Linked DNA regions of Arabidopsis thaliana. The protein of the gene in region 2 interacts with the protein of the main gene of each other region in a biochemical or structural test. Each region holds a gene or a part of one and is shown on either strand. Other genes may lie near its edges.

Evidence for each region.
Region 1: the proteins of SDG14 (region 2) and SKP1 form a complex in vitro, tested with the Arabidopsis thaliana proteins (one study listed by BioGRID).

What each region holds. Positions count from the first base shown.
Region 1 is NC_003070.9:28,514,960-28,518,695, reverse strand, and holds SKP1 (S phase kinase-associated protein 1), read right to left. Parts: upstream 2,178-3,736; 5' UTR 1,982-2,177; coding exon 1,673-1,981; intron 1,416-1,672; coding exon 1,242-1,415; 3' UTR 800-1,241; downstream 1-799. Other genes in the region: AT1G75960 (AMP-dependent synthetase and ligase family protein), read right to left, coding at 1-509; AT1G75945 (uncharacterized protein), read left to right, coding at 2,887-2,990, 3,202-3,283. UniProt on the Arabidopsis thaliana protein: Involved in ubiquitination and subsequent proteasomal degradation of target proteins. Together with CUL1, RBX1 and a F-box protein, it forms a SCF E3 ubiquitin ligase complex. The functional specificity of this complex depends on the type of F-box protein.
Region 2 is NC_003074.8:22,850,793-22,858,937, forward strand, and holds SDG14 (SET domain protein 14), read right to left. Parts: upstream 6,181-8,145; 5' UTR 5,757-6,180; coding exon 5,031-5,756; intron 4,948-5,030; coding exon 4,892-4,947; intron 4,808-4,891; coding exon 4,639-4,807; intron 4,370-4,638; coding exon 4,250-4,369; intron 4,178-4,249; coding exon 4,109-4,177; intron 4,020-4,108; coding exon 3,951-4,019; intron 3,859-3,950; coding exon 3,767-3,858; intron 3,631-3,766; coding exon 3,538-3,630; intron 3,336-3,537; coding exon 3,200-3,335; intron 3,093-3,199; coding exon 3,020-3,092; intron 2,934-3,019; coding exon 2,834-2,933; intron 2,743-2,833; coding exon 2,618-2,742; intron 2,430-2,617; coding exon 2,284-2,429; intron 2,185-2,283; coding exon 2,080-2,184; intron 1,938-2,079; coding exon 1,873-1,937; intron 1,792-1,872; coding exon 1,566-1,791; intron 1,459-1,565; coding exon of another isoform or gene 1,456-1,458; coding exon 1,216-1,455; intron 1,133-1,215; coding exon 1,043-1,132; intron 948-1,042; coding exon 861-947; and 8 more. Other genes in the region: AT3G61750 (Cytochrome b561/ferric reductase transmembrane with DOMON related domain-containing protein), read right to left, coding at 7,105-7,694, 7,779-8,145. UniProt on the Arabidopsis thaliana protein: Histone methyltransferase.

The DNA.
Region 1 (3,736 bases), on a different chromosome or scaffold from region 2:
CTAGTGATTAGATCACTGTACAAGTAACAGAATTTTGAACGCTCCGTTACTTCAGCTCCTCCTTCTTCCTCCTCCTCATTGGCGATTAGGACGAGAATCGGCGGATTGAGCAACATCGTGATCGCTTCGACAGCGAGATCGGAGTAAAAGAAGTCGACGAAGAGCAGCTTAGACTCGCAATGGCGGAGAAGAACAGAGACGGTTCGCGCGTCGAGGCGGGTATTGATGTTGTTAAGGATCGCGCCAGACATCGGAACGGAAAACTGGAGCTCGTACATTTCCGGAGTATTAGCAGATAGGACAGAGACAACGTCGGATCTTCCTATTCCAATGGAAGACAGAGCAGACGCGACGCAGAGGCAACGGTGATTCGTTTCTCGCCATGTGTACACGGTGGAATTGCCGTAAACGATGGAGGTACAGTCTCCATACACGGTGGCTGCTCTCTCAAGAAAGCCTAACAGTGTCAATGGTAACGAGTTAGCGGCACTTGGCTTCAAATCTTCCATTTTCTTTAGCTCTTTTCGAGTGACCACAATGTGAGTGTTACTGTATATAAAGAAGATATCTCTTTCAGTCTCATAGTAAAGATAAGATACACAATGACGAGACGAGAGACCACTTGACTAGCCAGACAAACAATTAAAGTAATTATATTGATGTACATGTGATCCACGTTCGGTTGAGTGGAAACTTTGTTTTCTTATATGCAAACAAAGCCCACATGTTATCGAATGTTGACGAATGGGTGATGCTGATTATGTTAGTATTTGAGAAGATGTTGACAAGATACAAATACGTGATGCAGATATTTATGTAAGTAGATGAGCAGGAGCAGGGCATAACTGGTGACCATTGGTTTCAATGAGTAGTCGTCATGATCCTTCACATTCTGCTTGCAGACTCTGCCAAATTCAGTTTCTTTTTATTTACACATGAACATTCCTAAAATGAATCGTGCAAATTAGCATTCTGTGGCGATTGGCAAGACAATTGAAAGAAGTTATTTTGTAAGACAAACCAACATCACTCTTGAAGATTATCTAAAAGCACAAATTATCCATCCCACAAAGAGTAAGAAACATTGGTTCTTGATAAGAAAGAAAGAAGAGGAAGAAGATAGTCATGATTCATGAAGAATATTAAAAAGCAAGTCATCAACAACACTTGAAAACGGCAATAAACATAAGGAAGAAGAAACTGGTTGCTTGCTGCTTTTGATTCTTCTCTCTGAAGATCAATCATTCAAAAGCCCATTGGTTCTCTCTGCGAACCTCTTCCTCTTCCTCTGGTGTGAAGTCGTTCTTAATGTTGAACGTTGTGCGGATCTCTTCTGGAGTCTTTCCTTTGATCATATCCGCAACTGTCTGACATGTTAGATCAAGCAAGTTCTTGATATTCAGGTAATTAGCAGCCTGCACAAGATCCCAAATTCATAACCATTAGATCAAAATCCGAATCCAAAAACACAGATATGATTATAATCCAAATCGATAGATTCAATTAATGATTGGTTCCATAAGAACCCTAACAATATCAATCTCAAGCAGATTCAATTTCTGAAACAAACACCTAAATTTCGAAACCCTAATTTTCCCAAATCGAAAACCCTAGAATCCCAAAATTCAAAATTCGATGGAAAAATCAAATCAGATCGAGAGAAGAAACATACCAGAATGAGTTCAAAGAGAGTAGCTTGATCGATCTTCATAAAATCAGCGTCCCAGGCCTTAAGATCGTCATCGGAGGTAGCAGCACCCTCGACGGCCTCGGCCTTAGAGGCAGCAGCCTCGACGTGCCTCTTGCAATACTCGATCACCTTGGCGAGGATCTTGCTCGTGACGTTAGGAAGAGGGACTCCGTTGTCGACGCAGTCGTCTTCAACCATATGCGCTATGGTTTGTGACTCGAGAGCCACCGCCTCCTCAACCTCGAAAGATTCACCATCGGAACTCTTCAACACAATCTTCTTCGCAGACATGGTTATGGAAACGAAGAGAGAAGAGAAAGATTTTAGATTTGGGAGATTTGTTCTTTGAAGAAAATTTTGGAGAAGCGATGAATGAAATAAAGAGATGCGTCTCTCTTTATATATAAAACAATCCCTAATTTTGATAAGTCGGTCGATTGTTAAAAAGTCGCAAGTTTAGGGAAATTAGGAAATTGTTTCAAATTTTGTTTTTCTAAAAGAAAAATAGAAATCAATCCTATTGATTTTAAATTTTGTTTTCAATAGTTGAAATTAATGAAATTAGGACTCTGTTCTATTTTTCTTTTGGAAATATTAACTTTGATCCGTTTAATTCGTTGTATTTATCTCATTATTAATAATATATGATTTTATATATATTTTTTTTCCATCCAGCTCCATAATTGTCAAAAAAAGTAAAAGAACCAAAAATCACCGTAGGATAAGTATTAGTCAATCAAATCAGCTTTGTCAGCTTTAAGATCATGTTTTTTGAACATTTATTTTTATTTTATATTAAGTTAATATTAATATGTCATAATAAATAATATATCTAACTAGTTTTTGGTCAAGAGTCATACAATATTTTAGGCCTGGGATAACGGTTCAACCCGAGAAAACCGAACCGAAAAAAACGAAAATTTTGGTTTTCGGCAGCAACCGAATTAAGGAGATCGAACCGATCGGCCAAATTAATTTAAGAATTCGGAAGTCGGTTCGGGTCGGTTCGGTAATCGGAACCAATCGGTTTCACCCATACCGAGAATCTGCAGCCATATATAAGGTTAATTGATGAGTCTTAACCTAATTAGGTTTCTTCTTCGTTTTTGGCTCTCTGCCTCTTGCGAAAACAACAAAGAAACTTTGATATTTTTCTTCGATTGAATTAGTAATCATCAACTCGTCTCTTCTCCTTCATGAATTCATCATCTTCCAAGCCTCTTTCATTCTCTCTAATCTCAGTTGGTCTTACAAAAAACCTTTGCTCAGAGATTCAACCCACAACCTCAACTTTCTTAGGGTAAACTCTTCTTATTTCTCTTTAATCATTTGTTTTGTTTGATTCTTTGCTCTCTAAGCTCTTCCTCTGTCTCTATAATTTCTGAAATTTTAGAGTTAGGCTTTACACTTCCAAATCTGAGATTATCCATTATTTTTATGGATCTTTTATGGTTTACACTTCCATCTCATGTTTTTTCTTACTTCATGGATAACAAACGGGCGTTTAACAGGTCTCGTAGGGCATTACGTCGTCGGAATGGTAGATCACTAGATTGGAGAGGCACTGCTCGACGTCGCAGTTTGGAGTTGTAGTCGTACATATTTTTTTTGTCAAAACTCAAAACCCTAATTTTGTAATGGACCTGACCCATAATTGTGTTGTGGATTTGTAATTGTAACTGTATATTTGTGTATTGGGCCTGTTGTTTGTTTTTTATTAGATTTCATTTTTGTAAGTCCATTTTTTTAATTTGTGGTTTATTTGGTTCAAATTAACCGAATTAGAAAAAAAATCGGTTTAATCCGGAATTTAATTTATACCCAATAACCGAACCGAAAAAACCGATGTCCGAACCGACCCGAACCGAATTTTTGTTCGGTTCAATTCGGCTAGAAATTAAAAAATCCAAAAACCCCGAAAAACTAAATAAACCGAACCGATTAAACCGATATATCCGAACTCCCAGGGCTACAATATTTATATAATGCTGTGGATTTTATTCTCTCTTTCATTTATTTCTTAATGGGTAATATATATTCTTAGAT
Region 2 (8,145 bases):
ATAGTATGGATTTTTTTTAATAGAAAATTCAGAAACTGTATTATGGAAAATGTTAAAAGCTATATTAACACTTCAACATTTTGGAACTTTAGGTTGTTGGCTGTGAAGTTATTTTCTTAGAGTCGGTGAATTCTAGACATTTACAAAATTGCTACGCCGGAAAAGTATCTAGCTGAATGTACATTTAATGAATCAATCGGAAAGAAGCCAGCATCATGTCAAGGGATTTCCCGTAAGCTAGCCGCCGAGGAAACAAATCGGTTAGCTTCCCACCGCCATTACTGTTCAATTAGAAAGCAAGTTTGAACGTTTGCAAGAATGGTTTAGACTTAAGAGAGCTCTAGTTCATGAATTTGCGGCAGTTTGGAGCTTTACAAAGGCAGGGCACTTTGATCTCTTCAGATTCATCAACCTCAAAGAGATAATCATACCTGTAGAGAAATAGGTTTTCATGATCAAGGTTAATAATGCATATGGATTTAATCTATATCTTATGAAAAGAGAAGCTGAAGAAATGTTTTACGTAAGCTCTTCCCCAGCTGCGACATTGGTTTTTGCAATGAGGACGATTCTGTTGTCTTCTCCATCACCCATACTCACTATACGAGCATAGCAATTGGGCATACACTGCACAAGACATAAACATCCTTAGTATTAATTACCAGGTTTTGATCTCGTGTGCCAATTTAGGGAACTTACTGAATGATTGATCAATCGTGCGATGTTCCCAGAGTCTGTGGCATCAATTACTATCTCTTCGCTTATCTTGAATAGCTGCGTTGTTGTTGTTAGACAATAAGTTACTTATTAGATGCAGCGGTTAATGTTTTAATCTAAGCAAGCAAGCAATCGGAACTTACGTAACAATCTTTGCCCTGCGAACGATAGTTTGCCTCTCTCAGATCTGCAACACTTCTCCTAACTTTCACCCCACGATACTCGATGATCTGCACAAGAATTTTAATAATCAGTAGTTAGTTTGCCTCAAGAATTTCAATTTAGCCATATCAAAACCACGAATAATACAACGTAAACTAAATACCATTTCTCCTTCTTGAATACTTTTCCTTGCAAACAAACCCCATCCATGTATGCCAGATTTACCAAAGCAGACTCGAAAATTTTCTGTCCTCTGAAGAAGATAATATATTGTTTATAAATATTCTAGGATAACAAGATGGAGAAAATATTAACTCTTCATGAATCAATGTTTACCTGCAAATGTTTTAGCCGTTCTCTGAATGATGTAAAATCTGCTTCCTGGTGTGTAACAAGGTAAATGGAAATTAAGATCTTCCTAAGATATTCAGAAAACGTTGCCCCAAGAAAGCAAAACACTGACATGAATGGAGCTCGGAATGAGAAACTTGCCTTAAAAGAGTTTAGATTCTCGATTGCACTCAAAGAATGATGGCTTGGTCCCTTAAGCCTGTGGGATATAGCCTCCAGATCAATCTTCTGAAACGTCAGCAGTAAAAGATATGAAGTAGTAGCTTTGCTAGGGAATAGTTAATAACGAAAGACTCTCCAACGTCCAAGAATAAACAAGATCCCCAGATGCATACCTTTGTGTTTGATCTACTATAGATACGGCATCTTGCTGCAGAAAGAGAATCAAATACACGACTCTGTTCAGCTTGGGTTTGGGTTTGGAAACCTGGAAGCTTCATCTTCTTGGTCAAAACGAGTCTTGAACCTTTGGCGCGCCCATATTGATTCTGAAGCAAATTTCTAGAGCCAAATACTCCTGAGGGTGTGTGCACAACTACAACACTATCTGGATCTGGCTTTCTACATAGTAATGATACAGGCGATCAGTTGGTCCCAGTATCACATAACAGGTCAGTTAAAGAATATGTCGGAGAAACAAACCTGTGAAATGAACAGTAAACTGACTTCCTGGTTCTCTGCACACCATTTTTTTCCAGGCAGTGCAACTAAATTCCATAGACAAAAACATCACTTACACATCCCTAAGATGATTAACTAACAGGACAGAACACCTTTGCAAGGGGTTTAACGTGAAAAATGAAGATTATCATAAGCACAGAGGCTAAGCAGTTTAAGGACTTGACTAACCTCCATGTTGTAACCTGCCCGTGATGCACACATTGCGTGGAAGTGAGTTGCACACTTGCAGCAATGAACGCAGGAACCATGTGTCTGCTTACAAATTGTGCAAACCTAAAAGGAATTTTCAGAAAATATGAATGATGTATAATATAATAAAACTTCTAATAGAACATGTTGGTTATACTTTCCACTTCTAGCATTCATTTATACCTTAAGAAATGAATTTGCTGGAATTTTGAAAAGTCCAACAGCAGGCTCCATATTTTCATGATTCAAAAACCCAACTTCCGGTCGGAACCAAGCACATGTTACATGAACCCACAAACCCTCAACGTCGCTTGGTTTTAAAGCACCACCTACATAATGGAAGAGTTCAGGAAAGAACTAGAAATATGGAAAGTGAGTTCAATTTAGAGCACATCTACCCAAAAGCGAATTCTCAGAATGACTGTATGGAACCTTGTGACAGGACAGTCAAGAATAAAACATCACTAATGCAAGATCAGGAAAAAAATCATAAAGAGAGCTAATTCTGCAGTAGTACCTTTTACAGGACAAAGACAACAATCTCTCTCAATGTCTGGTGTTTCACATGCTCTGCATACCCAGGAAGTGAGGTCCTGAGATTTGCTTACCCCATAACATTCTTGGTGCACAGCCACTTGACACCTGCTTACAGATTTGGTCAGATTTATGACTCATGTTTAGTTATAAGAACGCTGTAGAATTCAGTATAACCAAATTATGCCATTAAAGTAACCTGTTACAGATGATCATTTTATTTTCTTCCCAGTCTTCTACCCATCTGCATACAGCACACCTTTCAGTCGTCCACTTAGCCCTGACTGGCTCATACTTTTCTGTGCATATAAAATAAGTAGTAAGCAAGTATCTTAGCAATTTTAAACTCCAAAAGAAGGACGCCAAGAATTAAGATATACTCTACCTTCTAGCAAAGAGAGCATCTTTTGCTTATCCAACATCTGGGTTTCTAGAGTATAGGTACTGAATTCTGCAATCTGTAATATCTTGTTGTCAGTATTATACTTCTTATAGACATCATGCATGTAAATTTCAGGGGTATATAAGGGAAAGTTTATGAGAGAGTTAAGCATAAGGGATGTACCCATTTTTCTAGAGGTAGCATTGTGTCTTTCACTCTTACACTATACTTCCACTTTTTGGCTCTGCAGCCTGTATGCCGTTCCCATTCACTTGGTGACTGCTTCCTTGACCCACATGAACCACACTTGCACTCAATTCTGAAAACAATAGTTCCAAGATAAATGTGTTGTTTTAATCTCTGGAACAACAAGAGAATGGTAACAGAAGCCTAGGATCAAGCGCAGAATTGTCGTCTTCAGAGAAAAAATCATCTTACGGCATTGCATTGTACAGTCATGGACAAACAAAATCCTGCTCAAATGAGGAAATTGAAATAAAGATGATGCATCTAATACTTACGCATGAAATTTTCTGATATATGTCCCTTCCATGCCATTACAGACTACAGTAATCGCATCAGGCAGCCCAGTCTCTGTTGTCTTTTCTGTAGACCTGTCCCAAAGAGGTTGTGAAGAGGAATTTTGCAAATTAAAGAATTAGCAATAGAACAATGCAAATAATAAAAGCAGGAGAAGATATTTTTTTCGAGAAGACTAAAGTGAGAGAACATGAGATGTTAACAACATACTTAAACACTGAGTTCTGTTCTTCTAATATTGTTGGCGTAAGCTCGTGTTGGACTTTACAATCAGGGCAATAGTAATTGTTGTGCTCCAGTTCCTTAAGATGAAACCAAATTAGAACAGTCATTCGACAATAGTCTTCAATACTTAAAATCAAAAGATAAGATGCACGGCGATGTATAACGGCACCTTAAAGCGTTCATTCGTAATGTTGTCGCATTCAGCATGTACCCATACGTCACACCCATCACAACAAACCTAATACATCAAATCAAGTCAGCTATATAGATATTATAATTTCTTACTCAGGTCAGTATTTCACCAAACATGGTCACAGATATTCTCACCCAATCTCCATCATCTGAAGGGTGCCATATTCTCTTGCAGATGCCACAATACTGATTGGATTTCCGCAACTGAAACAAAAATTTGGATTCAATTCCCGTCGATCAAAGAAAACTGAAGAGGGAGGAAGTTTTGATAAGAACCTTTGAGCAGTGTTTGCATAAAAGCTCTTCCGGTTGTGAGTCTTTAGTCCTTTTTAGAGATTTTAATGGCATTACTGAGCCACAACCGTCGCATGTCCTTATGTCCTCATGATATGAACCCTACACAATAATTAAATCAGCAAATCGTTTAGGGGAAGGTATTTCCAGTAACTATAAAAGAGTCAGATACAAACAGTACATCTACGCCTATGTAGTATGTTTAAACTTCATGACTTAGAACAGAAAGTATATCACCAGACGTAGACACTACAAGATGCTTATAGAACTGTCCAGAATTGATTTACTTTTGTCTTCCCAAAACAATTAGAAGAGCAAACTTGAACATCTAACCAAAAAAAAGAAAAGGAATATGTGTCAAGAAAACGTGCCTGAAATCTAGAAGCAGGTCCATAGTCCTGGTCGGATTCCGTCGCAGAGGAATCTGGGGAGATGATTTCAGCATCTCCAAAATTACCATTTTCTGCTAAAACTGCTTCCTCTAGTGCCTTGTTAAATTCACTTGCCTTGTAATTGAACAAGTTTGTCTGATCCTGAAATCTGAAGAGATGAAAGACTAGTAAGGAACAAGAAACAAACACACAAGTATGAAAGATTTCCAGAAAGAGCGTCTCATGTACTTACTTGTCCATAAATTCCGTAAATGGATACACCATCCCTTGTCTTACCCATGCATAGTCCTGTTAATGACCACAAGTTTTCAGAAAAAAAGATAGTAAAAATAAACGCCAGCTTGAAGACAGATTAGGATTAAAGAGATTACCCTCTGAGTTCCATCCTTGGAGTACCCAAAAAACATGACACAAATTGCGCCAGGGACGCAATGTTTCAAGACCCCATCAGGCGCTTGTGATATCGGATCGATCACCACAGCCGGCCATGCTGGGAATCTTTTCCCACACTTGGCCCACACAAGATCGCCAACCGTAAATTCCTCTGGTTTGTACACGCCCTTACGCGAGGCGTCGGACTTTTTCGGCATACCAAAGTTAGCATCGTCGTAGGAAATTTGAACATCCCAGTAATCGCAATCTACTTCACTGCTGTCTCCGTTATCCTTACGTGGAAACACCTTCGAGTCTTTGCTGCGATGCAATTTCGAGCTTCCACTGAAACCTTTGACCTTCTTCCCCAGAGATACGTCGTCGTCATCATGACTAGACTCCGTCGACTCTCCCTTGCGACGGCTAGATTTCCATGTACCAACAATGGAGTCCTTGAACCTAGAAGGAACCGCTCGAACTCTGCCACGCGAAGACTTGGACTGGTCAGAGCAAACTTGTTGAGATTCTTCTTTGCTTGTCAAGGAGCTTGAGCTACTAGTAAGAAGTTCTGGTTCTTTGCTACATGGTTGATCCACGGTTGCTCTTTGTCTCTTCTTATACACTATAATCTCACCCTTTTTCCTCCCATACTCAATTTCTGAATCAATTTTGCACCGCTTCAGATTCTGATTCTCGAATGTCGTCAAGGTCCGTTTCAAAATCATATCCTACCTAAGCAATCCTCGCCTATTCAACATAAACGACTATCCAAATTCCGATTCCAAAACCCTAATTTCATCAAACAAAACAGATTTCGCACTTCGGACCTCCGGAAGGAAAAAGAAGAAACTCGTAACGTTTAAATTCCTCTCGCAAATTGGCTCAATAGTCAACGAACCCAATGCGAAACCGCTTCTCTAACCCTAAATTCGAAAACGAAAACCAAATTCTCGTTTCCCTCAACAGGATAGAATTAAGAAATCAAACGACGGAGAAATCGTTAAACTCTAAAACGACGGAGAAACAACAAATCCTCCTCGTAGATTCCCTGGAGAAAATTATCAGTCGGTTTCAGTACGGAGAAGATAAAACCTTAAAATCGACGGCAAGGGAAAACAAAAGAGGAGGAGAAGGATCTTTGTGTTCTGATGAAGGAGACACACACCGTCCGTCGTCGGTTTATATATTTCTCCTTATTATTATTTTATGGTTAATTCTGAAATTAATTCGCCTAAACAAATAATAAAAACGAAAATAAAAAAAACGAATATGCTGACGTGGCGGTTGAATGGAACAGTGTTTGGCTCCAGGGATTGGGGACGAGGGAAGACTGCGAATTTTCAGGCGTACGAGAGCGCCAAGTCGAAATCTTCCTTTTCATCAAATCTGACGTGGCGCATCAATAAATAACTCTCTCGTTTTTCTTCTTGTCACACAACTTATTTAGAAAAATCGAAGCTTGTTGGGCTACATATTGGGCCTACGATGTTTCTCGTGGAACATTTTGACAATTAATAAAAGAAACAACTTCGAGTTAGGCCCAATATGAACACTGTATGTTTCTCATGCAACAACATTTTGACATTACCAGACAATGGAGGAAGATGATCCTTTTTTCATTTCAAATAAGACTCAAAACTTATCATCCAATTATACGTTCATGATTTATATGAAAGATGAGAGATTGCATTTGCATACAAAAGGACCATATTTTTGTTAATCGCTCCATAATGTTAGCCTTAGGGTCTAGGGACGTCTATGCACATTTACAAACTCATAAGGAATTAAAGAATTACGTATATTTCACTTTCCAGGAACAACAACCTTCAAAACTCAACTTACATGACAACAAATTGAGATCCAAAAAGAAACAAACCTTAAAAAAACAAATATCACCATGTTGCTCTAAAGTCTAAACCAAGACCGATTTCCACTTGAAAATCATATTGCCGAACCAAAAAAAAAAAAAAAAAATTACAACACATATGGACTATAAAATCAGTGACCAATGATTATGGGGAAAACAAAAAAAGTACCTTTATGTACAAGAAAAAAAAAACAGAAGATCTTGAATCAAACACTAGTACTAGAACTTGGATGTGTCTCAAAAGAGGGAGGGCTGCGAGAAGATGGTGAGCCGATAGTGCCACGAATCCTGAATATTTCAAGAACAACAAAAGCAAGTAACGTGACTGACAGAACAAATCCATATCCAATTTTCCATCCATCTCCTCCATTATCCGCCATTCGAATTCCAAGAACAATGTTCACTGCTCCAAAAAAGAGAGAGATCCTCCCAATCCAATGATGATACCAATTCCAATATCTCCTCATCTTTGTCTCCTTCTGTGGCCGTGCAAAGAAAGCCAAAACCTGAAGAGTGCTAAGGACTAGAAGAAAGATCCCAATGCCTCGATGCGCAGGTATATCCGGCTGGATCCTATTGTAAAGCTGAATCCCAAGAATAACTGCGGCTAAACCGAAGATAAAGCCCGTGAACTGAAAACCGATATGAAGATAGTACCAAAGAGGGTCTTTATGTCTTAGATATCTTGCTAGGATTGCCCCTACAGGAAGTAAGAAACCCCATCCGAGTATCGCCATTACTCCATGTTTTGTCTTCTCCGTAGAAGTTGTCGTCTTTATGGAGGTTGCTCCACTAGCTGCATTGACCAAGAACATACAACTATTGAACTCTCCCCTGTTTTTAACATGTATAGATTAGACTAGTATATACATTATATTACCTTTGGAAAAATCGACGATGACTGTAGTTTTATCATCATGCTTAGTCAAACGGCCTAGCTTGGAAGGATAAGCAGTGCTAAACGCTAGAATGACAGCTCTCCGAGGAACTCTAACGGCGAATTTCACCTGGAAAGCTAAGTAAATCATTGCTCCGTGAAGAGCCACCACCGGCGGGACTTTTTGTAGTTGCAATTCTCCTTGATCCGGCACAACTTGGTCTCTCTCCGTTCCTTGGAGATAGTATTGTTTGATTTTGGCGTGACCCTTTTTCGAAATCCATCCGATCATCGCGCTTGATCCAACCATTCTTCCTTCTTTCGAGAATCCAATCCCAACCCACCCGGTTGTGTATAAAGCCGATACTAT